Linked DNA regions of Schizosaccharomyces pombe. The gene in region 1 interacts genetically with each later gene. Each region holds a gene or a part of one and is shown in the gene's direction. Other genes may lie near its edges.

Region 1 (6,458 bases):
GGTTCGAAGATGGTGCAAAAATATTCAGAAGTGCACCGTTTTGGATTTGTTTGATTTCACAAATTGCTGTTAGTGCTGGTTACTTGTTGTTTTTTCGCCGAGAAAATTTAAGTCGGCCTTAAATATGAAGAGTTTTAAATGGGTCTCTTGATATATAATAATGTTTGTTAATTATTTATTAGCCATTTACAGAAATGTAAAATTAATGAATGAATTATGATATAAAAGTTAATACTTTGGCAGAATTCAAAAGCATGGTTATAAGCAACATAAAGCTTTAAATTTAAATCAATCGAAATCTCAATTTCATATACTAATGTTATAGAATTTCTTTATTTAATTATATTCTTTTAACTAATTGTATGTGTATAGGAAACTTTGAGAGGGGTGTACAATTATTTGTGGGAAAAAATTATTAATCATTTGAAAACGGTAAACCCCATAGAAATTCCCGATGCAATCTTTTAACGGAGACAATTAGATATTGCTGCAAAGTAAGGAGAATATCTCTAGCTGTATAGTAAAATGATTCATAATAAAATAAAATAAATTTTATCGTTATATAATCCATATATAATTTTTTATGCTTTATATTGTCTTATACAAGTTTCTTAGCGCTGGGCAAATTGATCGGAGAATATAAAAAAGGGAACTACTTGATTATGGCGTTTTGATACAAACTAGATCCTTGTGCAAATTTCAAGTTCTATTAGAAAATTTTCGAATGGCATCTTGTAGGGACGCACTGTTTATAGTTTCGAATTTTAAATGTTTAAAACAATAGAAGGAGGTCAATAAATCAATAAATATTTAAATAAATAAATAATTAATAATAAAAAATATAATGAATTAATAAAGAAATATTGCATCTTAAATAAAAAAAATTATAATTGTTACGTTTTTTTTTTTGTTATATGGATATTCTTGGAGAAGCAGTGAAATTTTATTAGGATCTTCGTCGAAAACAGCGATCGATAAATCAGAACATGTCGATCCATGGAACGATAAATAATCTAGAGATGTTGGCTGACGGACAACGAGAGAAAGGTTCAGGACAAACAATGCAGATTTGGTTTATAGAAGATGATAACTAGAGAAGCTCAATATTGCTTTCGCTTCCTTCTCTCTTCTTTTTTCCCTTGTTCATATTATTATAGCTTTGCAAATCAATTTCAGCTTAGTATTTCGATCTGATAGAGCGACAATTATATAGTACCGCGAAAAACTTGCATACAAAGCTATACAAAAAATATTGAGATAAAACTGGCAGTACATACCAATGCGACTCAAAATTCTTTATCTTTTGTTTCAAAAAAAGAAAAAAATTCTGCTTTTCCAAGATTCCTACCCTGGAGTCCTTTCTCTAAAGCACTTAACAAAAAGCATATAAGTTACCGCCTCAAACAAGATTGTGATTAGACATCAGCACATACAATTTCTAGATTTACTCTATTCCCAATAATAAAACAGAGTGACATGTAAAAAAAATTCAATTTTTTAACAATTGTCTATTTGAAGTAATGTGCGACGAAGCTCCTGTGTACGAGGGTTACCTTTTCAATTTACACCAGGTTTGCGCAACTCGGCAAAATTTAAAATTCCGAAAACCATCGAATCCGAGCGCAAAATGCATTAGAGGAACTTCTTTAAAAATTTCTCATTCTCAGTGTTTCTAAGGTATGTGGTATGTGTAAATCTTTTTGTGCAAGCTCATTATGAACGTAACGCTTTTCTTTCAAGTTCTTTTTAAGTTGCTTCAAGTTGGAAAAAGAAATGATTATCGGATTTTCTGATAAGCGTTCGATCGTCATGACACTTTCCCCGTGATTTATTGCTCTAGACTTGAATCTCCTAAGTTGATTTTCATATTTGTTCCCAAAGTGGTGGGCTCATTATCAAATACTTTTTAAAATCAATATAAAATATTTTAATTATTCGTCAAAATTGAATGTCTTACTGTAGTTGACACTAAACTGTATTCAAGCAGTGTATTAAAACACTCCGTCCTCTGATAGTGCAAAAAAAAAAGATCATGGATTGTTCCATGTGGCGATCCCCTTTTGGCACCAGTTACGATACTACCATCGACTGGTCCTTTTTTTTTTTCTGAAATAATAATAAGATGGTTGTGACAGATCGACGTCAATCTGCAAATAAAATTTACCTATTTTTAGTAGATGCTGTCTACAATTTAGTCAAGTGATGTGTTGTCATGCAAAAAGGACATGCGACTTGTGTGTGTTGAGAGTATAGAATTTCAACGAATCTTAATTCATTGCTTCGTTCTATCCTTCAAATTTCTCTTTTTAATTTGAATGTTTGTAAGAATTTTCTTTCACTTGGGGTCGTTTTCTTTTTATTCAGTTTGCTATCTAGTGTGGTGGTTCGAGGTGCTTATTTACTTACCTATTTTCAAGCGTCGATCCTTAAACCTTGGTTATCCCGACTTTCAAGTGATATACGTGGTGATCTGTACAAATTTTCCTGTGCAAAATTACCATGTTACCTGTCGTTGCTATCCCTTGTACGTCGATTCGCACATCATTAGAATGACAGTCAAAAAAACAGTCCAAGGCTTTATATAAAGAAAGCAGATCCTTTCATTCCAGCCACGATCCGAGTATTTTGTTTGTATTCTGTTAGGTTTTGTTAGAGTACGTTATCAATCTTGTATTCTACGCTGCAAATCCTTTATCGATTGATTTGGCAGAAAATAAGGCAGTTTATAAGTTCAGTTTTACGATTATTTTGATTGATTTCGTTATCAAGTGAGATTGCTGATCACTCCTGCTTCAACTCTTACGTTGCTAATACTAAGTGAATACAATCAGCCAAAAAACCAAAAGGACGATCGCTTTTTTTTTTTGGTTGTAGATCTTATCACTCATTTTTTGTATTGGTTTTGTTTTTTTAAACCACTTTGGATTCCTAAGGTATTTTGCTATTGTTTTGTGGTAGAAAATATCGATTATTTGGAGATCTTTCTTTGCAACTTCAACCTATTCCCTTTTTGTCTTCCTCCTGTGCGCCTATCGCGTATTTTGCTTTTCCCTTAATTATTGTTCGTTCAATCAACTCCCCGCTTTCTCATTTGTTATTTTTTTTTTTAATTTTTTTTGGTTTTGGATTTCAGGTTTCGTTTGGTATTTCCTCGTTGCTTAATTAAACTATTATCCTCTCAGTTTATTGCTCCCTTTAACTCGTTCTGCTCAGCTCGGAGGTTGTTAAAAAATTTCTATTCCATTTTCACTCTCTTTAACGTTTTTCGTTGAAAACAAACTTTGCCCTGTTGAGTTATATCTTGTATCTTTCTCGTACATTAAAATGTCTTTAAACAATTTATCTAACTCATATAATCAATATCTTGCTCAAGAATCTCACCAAATATTGAGACATCTTTTTCTTAATAAGCAATATAGTCCATTGGTAAAAAGAGACGATGATAGCTCTGCTACTGTGACTTGTGGAGGTGATGCCAATGAATTCAACGAATATGGTCATCTGGGATATCGTATTGGTGCCATCTTTGTTATCTTGGCTACTTCATTAATTGGCATGAACTTACCTTTGGTCCTTTCTAAAATCACCAAAAACAGACCCAACGTTTATATTGAATATCTCTATCTATTCGCTCGTTATTTTGGTTCTGGTGTTATTTTGGCTACTGCTTTTATTCACTTGTTAGCCCCTGCTTGTAACAAGCTTTACGATCCTTGTCTTGACGACCTTTTCGGAGGTTACGATTGGGCTCCAGGTATTTGTCTTATTTCTTGTTGGTTTATTCTCTTGTTGGAGGTCCTTTTGAATCGCTATGTGGAATGGCGGTTCGGTATGGAAATCGGCGATCATCATGGTCCAACTCTTGGTGCCAAACAACACAGTCATAGTCACGAAGACGGTGCTCACGGTGTTCATGAACATCCAGTTTATGATATTGAAGAATGTGCCGATGGTGTTGAGCATGAATGTGTAAAGGATGACTTGGAAGAAGTAAAACTAGAACCTTATACGAATACTGATAGTACCGATTTGACTACTAAAGAAGAAGCTCGTAGTTTCTTACTAAAGCAACAACTTACTGCCTTTATAATTCTTGAATCTAGTATCATTTTGCATAGTGTTATTATCGGTCTTACAACTGCCGTCTCAGGTGAAGAATTTAAAACTTTATTTCCCGTCATTATTTTCCATCAGGCCTTTGAAGGTTGTGGTTTAGGTTCTCGTTTGGCGGGAATGGCCTGGGGCCCAAAAACTGCATGGGTACCTTGGGTGTTGGGCGTTATCTATTCGTTGGTTACGCCTATTGGTATGGCAGCTGGTTTAGGTGTTCGTGAGCATTGGGATCCTCTTGCTCATGGGTCTTATGCTGCCCAAGGTGTTTTGGATGCTATCTCATCTGGAATTTTGGTTTATGCTGGTTTAGTGGAATTACTTGCACACGATTTCTTATTTAGTCCTGAAAGAGAACGTAACTGGTATAAGCTTATTTACCTTTTGGCATGCTCGATGGCTGGTACTGGAGTTATGGCTTTGTTAGGTAAATGGGCTTGATTTGGTGGCTTTTTCGATGATCCGTGCATTTTATATTCTTCATTAAATCTGTTTTCTTCTTTTGAGTTTGAGTGTCAATATCGTTGACCAATTTCTAATTGTCCGTTTTCAGTTGTTTCTCTTTAGTATCGTACAATTAGATGCTTCATTGGTTGTATTGATATGTACCAATCAATCTTTCAATTTTAAATAATAATTGTGTCATTTTCACTGATTTACTATGCTTAAAAAAGTAGCTAATTTTGCATAGCCTATGAATGTAATTTGCTTCAATGTTCATTTACTAATTACACAGTCCTTGGTATTGTAAAATGTATTATAACTTGTTTTAATGTGTTTTCACCCAGTTTAGCAGATTTAAACATTAGGTGCGAAGAGAAAAAACAGTTTTTAACAATGGCACTTACAAAACTAAGAAGTCTCAAACGGATAATAAGTTAATGTCCAATAATCTGGCTCTCATACTCGATATATGTATATAATATATTTGCTTCTACATTCAACTTCGATAGATCGATCAGTCCTAAAATTAACAACTACCGTTTGTTGTGCTCGTGATATGATAGGTGCTGGGCTCCTCAAATTTTATATCCAAATCCGTTTCGAAAGCTCGCGTTTTGGAACCACTATGACACTCAGGTAAATCGCAAAGCGCTTGTAATTCATTCAGCCATCCAGCACGTTTACAAATCTCCACAATAACCCAATCACAATAAGGACTTAGAAAATTTACATCGAATTGGGTATGACGAACAGGAGTCCTCGAAATGTAAATCTGAGGAGTAGTAGGAGGAATAACACTGATGAGTTCTGAAACAGGAGCCACTTTTAAAGAAGTTCCAATACAAATTAATAAATCAGTCTCTTCAAGCTCACCACTCCCGACTTTGTTAAAGAAAGAATCCGGTAAGGCTTCCCCAAAAAATGTGATATCAGGTTTCATAATCCCAGGTTGAGCTAGATCATCTTCAGAAGATTCACTATCACCATCTGAAAAATAATGTTTCTCTTTTTTATTTTGACCGACTCTTCTTAATTTTAAGGGTGGTTTTCCGCATTCATTGCAGTAAGAAACTCTTTGATTTCTTATGTCTTCATATAACTCCGATCCATCCACCTTGTGCTTGCATTTGATACAAGTTGCGGTAGCAAAAGACCCTATATAATCAAATTAGACAAAATCACCAGTGCTCGAGATGCAAATCGGAAAATAAATACTTACCATGACATTGAATAATTTTGTTATCGGAGAGTCCAGTCTTTTTTTCCAAATTGTCTATATTTTGGGTAAACAATGTTGATAATTTATTCTTCTTTTCAAGCAATCTAATGAAGGCATGCGAGGGGGAATAATGATTCGTCTCCGGCAAAAGATCTCTAGCAAAAGTATAAAAAATTTCTGGATTTTCTCTAAACGTATGGATATCAAACATTTCAGAAGGTTCCGATAATCCATGGCGTGCCAAACGGGCATAAAAACCATTGTCTGAACGGAAATCTAAAATTCCCAAACTTGTACTTATGCCTGCCCCAACAAGGACGACAACATTTTTAGCTTTTTTCAATAAATTAACAACATCTTCAAAGGTATTAAAATGTGGAAGTTTGATTCTCCTAGCAACCTCACGTTTTAAAACTTCCTTCAGCAAAGGAAGTAAACTAATTAGCACGTTAGTATATCGATAGCAGATATTTTAAAAAATAAAAGATAAAAAGATAAGAAGGAAGTTAAAGAAAAGCATACTCTATGTCTTCAAACTCTTCAAGTGCACTAGGCTATTTACGTTAATAAATCTAGGTAAAGTCATAAGAAAACAAAACATGCAGTAGACCAAATTATTATTGCAATTTAACAAAAATAATCTGCTAATTTAATGTAATGCAAGTTATAAATCAGTAAGCATACC
Region 2 (6,479 bases), on another chromosome or scaffold:
CTTCACGAATTCAAGTACGTCAACTTTAAGAAACTCCGTTCTACATAGAGGACATGTATTTGCAACTCTGCACCATGATTCCAAGCAGTGGTTGTGAAAATAATGTCCACAAGGAATTTTCGCAATTCGAAGACCATCCAAGGTCGACGAAATCGAAGCGGGAACACTACTGGAATCCCATTGATCTAAGGGACAATTTGGTAAATTACTAAGACAGATGATACACTCTTCAGAGCTATCAGAATCTGCCGGCTTTGGATCTTCTTCAGCGTTCATTAATGTGGGGGCCGGAACCACAACGGGGCATTTGGTGGTGGGGGCGTAAAGCAGTAGTTATACAACGAAGGTGATGGTAGAAGGAGAGAAGGAAAACTGGCTCTTTAAGGGGTTCAACATTTTGTTTAACGAGTTTACTAACGTTATTTTGAAGTTACGCAAACGAGAGAGATTTGTAAAGTATATTAACAATTTCCACTGTACTACATTATCATAATGAAAGTGATCGATCGACAGTATTGGGAGCAGAGTGGAAATGAATAGTTTAATAACAAGGAAGGAACAGTTTAAACGGTTAAAGAGTTTGAAAGTGAAAGAATAATTTTAGAAAAAGAATTATCACATATATTATAGGGAAGATATAGAAATGTGAACGAACGATACTTTATTATGGTAATGTTAATTTCATATTGAATGAAAAGAGAATGAAGAGGTGAAAGAAAAGGCGATTAATACATAACATATCGTGGCAAGGAAGAAGTATGGGTTTATGAGAAAATAAAGTACTAGACGATATGGAAATCAATATCGTTGAGATATATGAAAATCGTGCTGCGGAAAGAAAGAAAATTCGCAGAAAGACTTTTTGCTTTAAAGTACGGTCGTACGACGGTTCTTCTCTTGTTGAACCTGATAAGAGCGAAGGGCAAAGATGGAAAAGATGACAATAAGTGAGAGGAGCAAAATAATGAGACGCTTTTTGAAGGAACCCTTCTTCTGTCCATAAGTAGTACCTTTCAATTCCTCAGCAGGAATTTCCGGAGTTCCCTCATCGTCAATATCGGTAATTGTACGGCTCAAAATACTGGCAATTTCATGGGATTCACTTAAATCACCAGTATGAGCGCTGAAACTCATAAAGGTGGTAAGAGGTAATTCGACTTCATTAAGATCAAAACATTTAATAAAGCTAGAAGAACCTTGATAAGCAATTTCAAAACGTAGCTTTTTGGCATTTTTGTCATATTTTAGTTTACCCAAATTATAGTCATTTCCGCGAACGTTCAAAGCAGAACAGCTTGCAATCTCATTGGCTTTGCCATCGTTTTCATAATCATAAGGAGTATGTCCATCCCCCTTCATCACAATTACACGAGGGAATAAAGTTCCCGGACGATGGTTGTTGTACGTATCAATAAAAATGCCATAACCATTAAACTTGTCCGTAAATCCAAAAACCGGTCCAGGTTTGGCGCGCTCAGCAGCTAAAAAAAACGCAAGACCATCTCCAAAAAGGGAGGTTGATTCACTGTTAATACGAAATTGAAAAAGGACTTCAAAGCTGCTAGACGGTGTTGGTAAACGGGTGGAAATCCATCCCTGTTGGTTTTGGACGTCCTGGGTCAAGAAAATACCGTTCTTTCTATCAATAACAGTGCTACCACCATATTCCCACCATAAGTTTCTCATACCATGGTTGATGTAAGGAGCTTCCAAAGACAGACGCTCCAAGTGACTGGTTTCTGCCAATGCACCAAGAACAAACCCAAAGATTCCCAAAAGGAAAACATTCTTTACTGAGAAAAACATATTAAATACCGCCTTTTTTTAAAAGAACGCAGTCCACACTTCTGCTGCGTGTCGTTTGTAGTGGTCAAGTGAGTCAGTGTGCTTCCAATGCCAGAATTCCCAAGTAGGTCACGTGTCACCTGAAATAATAAACAATAGAGGCAGGCAGAGCTGAAATCAATTGTAAAAGCTGTAAAATCACAAAGAGTAGAGAGTAAAGACCTAGAAAATTTAGCATTAACTTCGTTTACTTCATTTCTAAGTCAAGTTTTGGAACATGCTTTGTTTGAATGAAAGACCTTTGAAACGCCCAATGTTTATTTGCTTTGTCGATGAAATAAAACAAATGGATTTTCATAGGACCAGGTCATAAATTTAGTTTTTATTTTCTTTTAGATGATAGTATTATACAACCCAAACTTGAAGCTTGCAAACCTTGACTTCCTTCAATCGGTACGATCGTGCTGAATGGTCACAACAGGTCCTTTCAGCAGAAATAGACAAGATTTTTAGAGAACAAGCTTAGATCGTGTGATGATTGAAAGATATTCTAATTGTCCAACTGCCAAGAAATACTTTCAAACTGAAATTCCAATTCATCGATATAACAAAGCAATCTCAGTAAAAATATGCTAAAGTGGTTAACGTCAATACTTTATTTCAATAAATTCGTTATATAGAATGTCGATCCCATCCGCAACGCTATTATTTTTAACGTACTGTTGAATGATTTTAGAATTTCATAAATGAGCTACTATAGCCATGCTCCAACCATACTCAAGTAATTTCCATATTTAAAGTCATGAATAATTCAAAAGGCTGGTAAGTAATCTGTTTTTTATGTTTTCTTTTTTTCTTTTAAGATCATTTGTTTTTCTTGTCTTGATTGTTGGAGATCTGATGAATTGGTAATAAATCGGAAAATGGATCTTCGTCACGGAAATCCATTCTTGATGTTCGGAATTTGCTTTATCGATTTGTTGAAATCTTGACTGTCAGATAAAAAATTCAAATTGAATTTAGTGGACGTACTTGTTGGTTATCTTTTCATGTTTGGCTATGGATGAAAATCGTATATCATGTCAAGGCTTTTGTTATACCGTTCTGCTTGCGATATTTGGAAATGGATTTATATCTTTGATTTTCAATTCAATATTCCATTGTCTTCATTTAGTGTATTCTGCTTGACAGTTATTAAAACCTCAAAAACAAATGCGGTTCTAAACATCAAGCTAATTTGTTGATGACTGAGATGAGCATACGCCTTTTTTTACATCTATCTAAAGAATTTTATGATTGCTGTGGTCTTTTTTTACTTACTTTTTTTTTACTAACTACTTGTCAACTTAGGATACTAAGCCTTTCTATTAATGCTTTTTGCGTATTTGGTGCTAGTGGAATATATCTCGATAAATTAGTCAACAAATGGTTTGGTTACGAAGTGCTTGATTTAGCAAACAGCGATAATGCCCTTGTAACAGGTCTCGCTACTAGCTCCGGTATTTTATTGTATAGCTCATGGGCTAGCGTGATGCAAGAATCCTTTCACTTCTTAGAGAAAATTTCTATGTTCGATACTTTTCTCGTGCGTGTATTTCAGTTTTGTGCTTTCTTTTTCGGCGGTATAGTGTTTTACATTTTTAATCACTTTCTTCACAAATGGCTTCACGAATCAAGCCAAACTGGTTTTTTGCATGATCATTTCTCCGTAAGTGATCCCTCGCCCTCCACCGCACAAAACCACCGTAGTCCTCCTGCATCTTGTAAGCGTTTATCGTCTTGTGAATCGAGTGGTTCCCCATCTAGCCGAGTTGTTGGATCTTTGCAAGGAAGTTATTGTCCAAGCGGTACTCATCTTCATGAAGGATCATTATTGTTGGAGGATAGCTCCGCTAGACATTCTTCTGATTCTGTTCATGAATATTTAGTAAAAAAACCCTCTAATTGCGATTGTGAATGTCATGCGCACTTCTCCAGTTTTCCAACGCACTCAGGAACTCCTGATGATATTGAGCATATTCATTCCGTTTATACTATGGGCATCCAGACCGCTTTGCTTATCTGTCTTCACAAGGTGCCTGAGGGCTTCATCACCTTCTTAGCCTCTACCGTTGATACGGGGTTTATGGTCCTTGTTGCAATGAGTATTCATAATATTGTTGAAGGTTTCACAATTGCGTATCCCCTTTATCTTGCATGGAAATCTCGTCCTAAAGCTTTCCTTACCGCCGCCACGCTTAGCAGTTGCAGTTTACCTCTTGGTTCTTTAATAGCCTTTCTTGTAATGGAGGCTGGAGGTATTGGTTCTTCGGATTTTCTTAATTTTCTCTATGGAATTATATTTGCTGGAACAGCGGGCATGATGCTAATTCTTTCTCTTCGGGTTATTCTTCCTGAAGCTTTAAGACACGATCATTCAGAAAATAAAAGGCACTCTTTCATTTGCTTTACAATTGGTATACTTTTTACCTTATTTTTGGAAATCTTTGATAGCCATTAGTGTTTCCTTCCCGCTTACTTTAAAAACGATAACAAAAACTTAATAGTATATTTGGCATATCATTGCCTTAGAAGCCCTTCTCCCTTTCATCGATGTTTTACTTCCCTTTCTTGAAGTAAATTTAATATACCGAACACAATTTTTATATATGGTTTTGTGTCTCTCTGCTGCCATGCTAATATACTATATTGGCAAAATTTGTTCGGTACTAATTCTTCTCAGTTCTTAAATTTATTGTTTTTTTATAATATTATTATTTGTGTTCCTTCTCTTTCATCCGCTTTATTTCAGTTTTTAGGTTTTGAGACATTTAATGGTCATACTTCCGGTTTATTAATTTAACACCTGCGATGTGTGGATACAAGGCTAAACTTTTTCAATCTTGTGTATTTTTTTTAATATCAATTTAAATATAAATGGCAATTCGTTACAGTTTGTATGCTCCTTCCCGTTTCGCAGATTTTTAATGAATTCTGTATCGATTTATTAAGTATCATACCTGATTGTTAATTTGATATTAAAAAAAAAACTGGCACTCTTAAAAAAGCGCTTTGAATATCACTATCGTAATTAATAATAATACGCTTGGATTTGGAGATTGATTATACGCAAGTGTTCCAGCTTAATCTTGATGCGCACACTTCTAATATATTCTGTTCATTCAATTCCTACAAGTTATTTAAGATCATGCTTATTTGGTGTTTATAAATAGCAATGTGTATCCAATTCAAAGAAGAATAATCAGTATTGCAATGCACAAGAAGCTTTTGAAATGTTGCTTTGAAGTATGTTTAGATAGATTTATTGTTTTGTTATAAGTAAACGCATATGGAAGTTCTGACACCGTTTATAATAAAAATAAGGCTTTATAGCTGATTTTTTAGACCATAAAATCGAAATTTTTTATAAATAGGTCCTCATACTTAGTAAACACTAGTGTAGCTAAGGACGGTTTTCCTTCACCTTTTTATAGTCTGCGTTCACTAGCGGTTGATAAGTTGGCTAATTCCTCAAATTCACACTATAAGTGAAAAGTAGAAATATCATAGGAGATTTTATTTGTAATCATTCTCTTTTTTAGCAACACATTTTTACTCAGGATATCATACATACTCTGCTAAAAACTTTCGTATTTTGATTTTCGTGGAAGCAATTACCATTAGGCTTACCGAAAAGGTTCTAATAGCTGGATAGAAAAAAATTATTGAACAAAGTTCATATAGATTTCTACGAGTAATCCTAAATGTCAGACTCTCAAGATAAGAATTATATTTCTTTCGAGAAGACCGAGATTGGGCAGATCGTTTCAGAGGCTCCGGCAGAGAAATACGTTTCTTTTCAAAAGAAATATTTCAACCGATTAACTATCATTGGAGATTCTATAACACAGAAGGGATTCACGCCTGGAGGATATTGTGCCGAATTAATGAACTTTTACCAAAGGCGTTTACGAGTCGATGTTTGGGGTTTCTCAGGATATACTTCAAGACATGTTTTAAGATATTTACCGGAAATTCCACTGGAAATTGACAGTACAAAATTGTTAATCGTCTTCTTAGGAACAAACGACTGTCAGTTAACTGAAACCGGATACATGTGCCCCGTAGATGAATTTAAAAACAATTTGTTAGCACTTACCAGACCATTTCCTCATTCTAAGATTATCATAGTATCTCCCGGTATATGTACAAAGGACATTTGTTTTAAACGTGAACAAGAGCCATATGTAATTGCTGCTTCTGAAACAGTGAACACCCTTAATAAATCTAAAGCTAATTCAGCAGGTCTTATCAATCTTTATGAAATTACGAAATCCTATCCCACGCCCGAGTTGCTATTCACGGATGGTCTTCACTTTTCGTCTTTGGGGTATAGTTTGTTATTCAACGAAATTGTTGCAACGATTTCAAAAGCTTGGCCCGAATTGCTACCGAACAATCTTCCTCTTCAATTTCCTCATTGGTCTGAAATTCTCTTTACTTAAATTTTTTCGGCTCATGAATAAATTATTGATTATTACACTCTCACATGCTTTTCGCTTATAATTATTTTTGCTAACTAGACATAAACTAAGAAGCATTCGCACGGTGATACCGAGGATCTATGCCGATTTTAAAATCATTCATGGAAATGAATACTTTACATGGATCTCATAGTACTCATATTGTATATGATTAATATGCATGACCCAGAA
Region 3 (6,814 bases), 3.3 Mb from region 1:
AATAGTCGAACCAAGTGTTGATGAATAAAAAATTAATAAATAAATAAATAAAATAAGAAAAAAAAACTAATTAGATGAATAAAAAGAAGAAAATATAAATAATAAGAATTGAAGTGGAGTGAGAAAAAGTGACATTAAATTCAATAGCATCTTCTTTTTTTGTAATAGTTTGAAACATGAATTAAAATCGTATGTAGACAATTTCATTTTACTAGAGTTCAGATGGTTTGAAACACTGTACTTGAATATTCTGGGCTACAAGAAATCTATGGCTATGAGGTTCCGTATAGGATACGTATGTTTTATCATATTTGTTTTAAAAAAAGTAGTATGAATCAGATATATATTAAGTTTCGCAACTTTGATGGTTAGAAAAAGTAAAATATTTTGTCTAGACGTACGATAAAAAAAAAAATTCTTTTTTCTTGGGATATCAGATATGCTAATTTCTATTTTCAACACATCTGATATGTTTGCAAAAAGCATTTTCACACATCTGATATTGCATGGTAAAGTAGACAAGTTTTCTTATTTAGTTAGATGCATTGTTAGATTCGGGTATAAAGATATGTCTAATTTGTTTTGAGCTTTTTATTTTATTTATTATTTTATTTCATTCGGCGCTGCTTGCATCAGGTAGCAGAAAGTCTCGTGAGTTGAAAATGTCGTAAAGTGAGAGAGCTCAATAAAAAAAAAAAAAAAAGATGCAAAAAGAGATTATGAAAGAAACTTTATAGAAAAATTGTCCAGCTTAATAATTTAATTAGTATTTAGTTTAGTAATTAAAGTAATTCAACTTTGTATTTTTCAACCTCTTAATTCCCCTTGGTAATTTCCCTTTCTATTTCCCCCTTCATCAGATAAAAATAAAATACTAGAGTTTTCATTCACGCTTACATATCCATCCACATCTGCATCTCAAATTTCCATTTCTGCTAAAATATTCATTCAACGAAATTACTCATTCAGCTAAATCAACTCACATTATCGCTAATGTGACATTCTATTGAAATTCACCATCAATCTCGCCATTACTATTCCAACACAACAACATAGATCTTGCGACTTGGCTTGACTTGCTTGCCTAGTTTTGCCTTGCGGGATTATGCGTTTGGTTGTCTTGTGTCCTGTTGCCTTTTCATATCTTATCGTATGCCTTTTCCAACCTACTTTTTTTTTTCTTCCCTAAACTGAATGAAATCCCTGGGGAAAAAGTTACTTCATCTGTTAAACAACAACAATTGCGATACAATATCTGATCAGGTGATGATTTCTTGCAATATGAACAAGAATGTTTGCGATTAAATCATCAAAAATATTAGACTCTTTCTTTTCTTAAAGATTTACTTCTTTTTTTTTCATTTTTCATCCTTTTATTTCTTTTTCTTTTCTTTCACCACATTTCATTTCCTACCATACTCATATTCTTTCGCTTCATCATATACTAGGCTTGTTAAACTTGCTGATTTTCCATACTGACAAAAAGGATTTTCCTCCCATCCGCTTCCTCTTAGACAAAGTCCTTTCGTCAATTTCTTCTACTGCCCGCTTCCAGTTCCAAATCTGATTCTTTCTTGGAACGGAACATGTCACTTGGCAACTTTTTCATGATCCTTCCATCCTGGAAAACGGTCATCTTTGCTCGGACTCTCGTACATCCTTTTCCTTAACTCAAGCAATCCGTTCCAATCGCTACTTTTCTATTAACCCCGGAAAATCCGCATCCGTTCATTTGACTGAATTTCTCGTTTCCATCAAGGGATACTCACTTTTCTCTCGACTCACCGACATTTCAATTCAATAAAATGCAATACATTACGAAAAAGATGTCGATCTCAATACAAAATCATTTACTAGCGAACTTCTTACTCCAGCTAGCTCATATTCATGTTGATTAATGAAATGTCTTTATTTATTTCATTTCTTATTTACCTTACACCTTACACCTTTACCCCTATGGCATGGCTTAAAAACATAGCATGTTATTCATCTCGACTATTCTCTTTTTGACCTTGACTCTGTTCACTAAACATTACGTGGCAGCGCTTTTTTCTTTTTTCCTTCCCTGTAAGAAAAAAACCCTCAAAGTGGTGTCATTGAAATTTTGTCTACCTCTTCTCTCTTGGTCTCGTCGATTGTTTCCAAGGGTAGCATCTTTTGGCAGCATCCGTATTTACAACAAAACGTAAGTTTTTTTCCACACTCCTTATCAAAAATAGTCATTGAAAAAATACTATATAGAGCATGCATATCTACGCTTATCAGTTCAAGTTTATCTTGGATTTTGAGGGATTGCTTGTTAAGAGAAGTCTGGTGAATCCGAGTATCATATAGGAAAAAGCAATCAGATAAATATTGAGGTGTGGATAGCATTTAACCATATCGCCTGAACCGTCCCACCAACCCATATTTGCTTTTTTATTTTATTTTTTTTCATTTTCTTTGGAGCGACTGCTTTTTAAGTTTTATTTTTCTTTTTAATTTATATTTTTTCTCTTTAAAAGCTTTTGCTTTAGTTTGGTTGATTTTGGGTTGCTTGCTTTTGCTTTCGCTTTTACCTTTGCTTTTGCTTTGCTGTTTGTTTCACTTTTCTTTTTTAAACATTAGAGCCTTTCAACTTTTGGTTGTTGCTGCATTTTTTTATTACTACTCTCCTTTACCCCCCCATAAATTGTTAATTCTTCTTTTGTGTTTTTTTCAAAAGTCTTTTCCTTCTAACTGTTCTTTTGTCTTTCAAAAGTTCTTACCTTTTTAACTGTTTCTTGTTATCCCTTCCATCTGTTCTTCTTTTATCTGTTTCATAAAAGTCTTTTTCTTTCTTTCTTCCTTCCTTTCCTATTTGTGTTTCATTATGACTGCCTCTATCACAGAAATCGACAGTATTTCTGAAGAGTCCAACGTCGAATCAGTCTCTCATCTCCAACATTCCCCTTCGTTTGAGAAAAAAGGCGCTGACTTTTCCATTTCTCTTAACGAAAAGAAAGACTTCGCTTCCCCCATTACTGAAGAAATCCCTTCCCCTGATGGAATTGCTACACCCGAACCCGAGACAAAAAAGAAGCTTTCTTTCGGCGCTCGCGTTTGGGATTTAATCTGTTCTCCAGGTAGACAACACGATGTTTGCGTTGCCGCCCCTACTCAACTTGTACGCTCATGCGATGACTATGCCAATAGTGCCTCCACTCTCGTCACCAATGATGATGGAACAAAGACAAAGGTCGATTCTGATGAGAAAAAACACAAGCATAAGAATGTGCGTGATTATATCAGATTTAAACATGTTGACATTGGTGGACGAATCTTCGATTTGATCACAAGATTGGCTGGCACAAGTTTTACTTTTATCCTTATGCTAATTATCCTTATCGTTTGGGCAATCGTAGGTGGTATTTATCGCGCTCCTGATAATTGGCAAATCGTTATGCAAGATGGCAGTTCTATTCAATGTTATGTTTCCGACACATTGCTTATGCGTCAACAGCAGAATCAACATATCCAAGTACTAACTATGATTTCCCAATTGCGTTCACGTCTTCTTACTACCAGTCGTCTATTGGGCCCTGTGTTAAATGACAAAACCAAAATTTCTTCCGTAAACGTTGCACTAATGAAAGACGATGTGGGTGATGCTGAAAAGTTACCTACTGAAAATTGGTTTGATTTTATTTGCAATTACGTTAGTTTTATGGTAGGCTCCATTATCTTCCTTGTCGTATACTGGATTGGAATCTTTATTTGGATTGGATTCGGTCGTATGCTAGGATGGTCCGATGAATGGCAGTTGTATATTAATACCGCTGTTGCCGTCGAGTTGACCTTTACCTCTGTTTTCCTTCAAAATGTTCGACACCGTCATATGAAGTATATTGATCGTTGTGTCACATCTATCTTCCGCATCGATTCAGTAATAGAAGAAGAGCTGCGCAGAATGATGGGTGATAAAGAACCAAATGAAGAAATAACCATTAAAATGGATAAGATCAATCTTGGTGAGAGATCCATTGATTATTATGCTGATTTAATCGGTTCTGGTGTTGGTGTGGTCGTTAGTACTTGCGTGTTTGTAGCTTGGATTGCCATCGGAAATGTTATGCATTGGGATTCAAATTGGTGGCTTATTATTGGTACTTATACCGGTCTTGTTGGTTTCTTAGATGGTTTCGTTTTGAGAAATGTCTATTTCCGCGAAAGTTCCAAAGAAGCCACAGAAATTCAAACGCTCATAGACGAGGATTACGCCCTTTATCAAAAGCTTGATTTACCACTTCCTCATGAACACATAACAAACTATAAAAGTACATTCGGAGGTTCGCTTAGTCAGTGGATCGGCTGGTTGTGTGCGTTGCCTATTTCCGTTCTTTTCTCCGTATTTGTGATTCTTGGTCTGATCATTGCAGCTGGATCCTTGAGATTCAATGAGACTGCTCAATTGTTTTGTAACACTCCGACTATGATTATTGAGGGTGCTCTTTTGATCGTTCTGATCGAGGCTCACAATATAGCCAACTTGAAGCGTCGTATCCAATTTCGACAAATTCATCTTCGTCGTTTGACAATCTTGAAAATGCTTGCCGGTGATAACTATTCAACCACCAGCACTGTTTAATTTTAATTGTTCCTTTTTTCTAAACAACAAGTTCCTACCCGTTGAAATGAAATATCATTGCCTGCTTGCTTTCATTTGAGCAAAAGCCAGCTGGGCTCATTATAATGCATCTTCGGTATTAAATATCTGGATTTTGGCTGAAGTGTTGCAACTTTGCTTAATCGTTCTCATCAAATGCTCTTGGATTGGTTGTTAATGATAATATTTATTAATGTTGTTTTATTTTTTACTTAGCTTCTGGCTTGAAGGTTATTATAGCCGTTGCTATCCACTGCGAGGTTTTTTTCCATAAATTCTTTGCTTCTTGGTTACGACTTTCAATTTAATTTTCATAGACGTGCGTCTGTTGATGATTAATTTCTTTGATTTTTGTTATCCATTTGTTAACCCCCTTTCATGACTTACTTAACAATTTCTTTAATGGGGAGCGGACTATTATCTCACAATAATTTTTTTTTGCGTCCATCTCCACCCTCTTAATGTCGAATAATTATCTTTCATTTATTTTTTTTTTGAAAATTTAATTCACTTTTTTTAAATTCAGTTTACATTTTAAATTGTCAAGTCCGTAAACGAATCAGTGCACTTTAATGTAGGATACCTTTTATAAGTTCAGCAGCTTTTATTGTAATCTACTATGTTTGCAAGATCGATTATAAATCATAAAATTTTAATAGTATGTCATCTCTTAAAACATACCTTTTTTTTTTCTTCTTTTTTACGAAAAAAAAAATTTGAAAATATTAAATTAATGGATACTATCGATGTTCCAATACAAACTGTTTGTCTGTTCGTTTTGGACATGCACGGAATCTACATTAGTTCATTAAGGGTTCAAAAATCTCTAGATACTGGTTTCTATCATACCGAACAATGTGGAAATGCTTACTGCAAATTTGTCTTCTAAACAATGAATCGTTGTCATGAGAATACTCGTTTATGACACAATTGCAGCGTGTTATTCGATTTTTTACTTGTTTTTGTGCACGGCATGTAGACCGTGTTCAGCATGTCTAGATCATGTAGTGTCAATTTTGATAGATCGGTTGACATTTCAATAAAAATATGGACATGACGGTATACAACACAATAGATCATTTTTTTATTTAGTGTTGATCAGTAATCTAGTGATATATTTATTTAGCTAGATCATAACCCTAATTTTTTCTATATTTTCATTACCCTTTCGGTTTTTTATGAAATTATGATGGTTTGATACATATTTGCAATTACAATATATACTGCTAATACTTAAATAAATCACGTTGCTCCCGTGGCCTAATGGCTAGGGCATTTGACTTCTAATCAAGGGATTGTGGGTTCGAGTCCCGCCGGGAGCTTTACGTTTTTTGTTTTTCGATCAGTTACTAATTGTTTGAATTTTCTTAATTTGAATGATGAACTTATTATAACAGATTTTAATAACTTGAAATCCTGAGGATGAAAATAAACATTAAATACTTTTCACCTAATAGTTGCCAAACGCATATGGGTGATAATAATCTAGTTATATCCATGCTATCCACGGCGGATTAATGACCGAAATTAAGTCTCACCCTTTTTCAAATTATTGCTAAAAGAAGCATGCTTTCCTTTGATCATCATAAGCATTGTTTACTCGTTGAACAAAAAAAAAACTAAAAAATATAAAAATCGATTCCAATACAAAATCAAAAATTTAATCGATGCATCAACCGGGAGTCGAACCCGGAGCTAATGCTTGGAAGGCATTGATGTTACCGCTACACCACTGATGCGTTACTGAGAGAGATAATTAAGTTGCAAAATTTATACCTTAAAAATTATTACAAATTAAGGAAATCGAGCAGAGGTCAGCAGCACACCAGTAGAAATTATAAATTTTGTTATTTTTAATAAAAACATAGTTAAACTTGACAAAAAGATATATACATTTTCCTTAAACTGATAACATTACAACACCTTTTAGCACAACGTCAATTATAGCTTTAATAGCTTCTTAAACTCGCTTGCTAATCTTGGCGATATTGTTGCTAGTTAAATTAATTTTTATCCTTTACTCATTTAAAAACCAACATTTTTATATTCCTCCTATACCAATGTTACAATAATCGTTACAAAATATTCAATCAATTTAATAAATTTTTTTATTTCTTTTTCTTTTTCTTTTTTGGTTACAATGTTCAAAAAATATAAGTTATTCATCAGATATTCTCCATATTAAACTTG

The links.
Region 2: of zrt1 (region 1) and zip2, changing one enhances a phenotype caused by changing the other (phenotypic enhancement), as found in Schizosaccharomyces pombe (one study listed by BioGRID).
Region 3: mutations in zrt1 (region 1) and fet4 impair growth when combined (synthetic growth defect), as found in Schizosaccharomyces pombe (one study listed by BioGRID).

Annotation. Positions count from the first base shown.
Region 1 is NC_003423.3:3,604,566-3,611,023, forward strand, and holds zrt1 (plasma membrane ZIP zinc transmembrane transporter Zrt1), read left to right. Parts: upstream 1-2,611; 5' UTR 2,612-3,324; coding exon 3,325-4,551; 3' UTR 4,552-4,765; downstream 4,766-6,458. Other genes in the region: cell wall alpha-1,3-glucan synthase Mok13, read left to right, coding at 1-122; histone deacetylase, Sirtuin family, NAD-dependent Sir2, read right to left, coding at 5,081-5,709, 5,774-6,210, 6,296-6,327, 6,458-6,458. UniProt on the Schizosaccharomyces pombe protein: High-affinity zinc transport protein. Regulates intracellular zinc levels.
Region 2 is NC_003421.2:2,129,174-2,135,652, forward strand, and holds zip2 (zinc transporter), read left to right. Parts: upstream 1-2,558; 5' UTR 2,559-2,587; coding exon 2,588-2,607; intron 2,608-3,135; coding exon 3,136-4,285; 3' UTR 4,286-5,036; downstream 5,037-6,479. Other genes in the region: ubiquitin-protein ligase E3 Asr1, read right to left, coding at 1-276; SPOM_SPCC126.08C (lectin family glycoprotein receptor), read right to left, coding at 868-1,806; isoamyl acetate hydrolytic enzyme Iah1, read left to right, coding at 5,529-6,269. UniProt on the Schizosaccharomyces pombe protein: Probable zinc transporter that may mediate zinc remobilization from the endoplasmic reticulum under zinc limitation.
Region 3 is NC_003423.3:325,784-332,597, reverse strand, and holds fet4 (iron/zinc ion transporter), read left to right. Parts: upstream 1-2,268; 5' UTR 2,269-2,851; coding exon 2,852-4,606; 3' UTR 4,607-5,174; downstream 5,175-6,814. UniProt on the Schizosaccharomyces pombe protein: Required for Fe(2+) ion low affinity uptake. Has a role in zinc uptake under conditions of zinc limitation.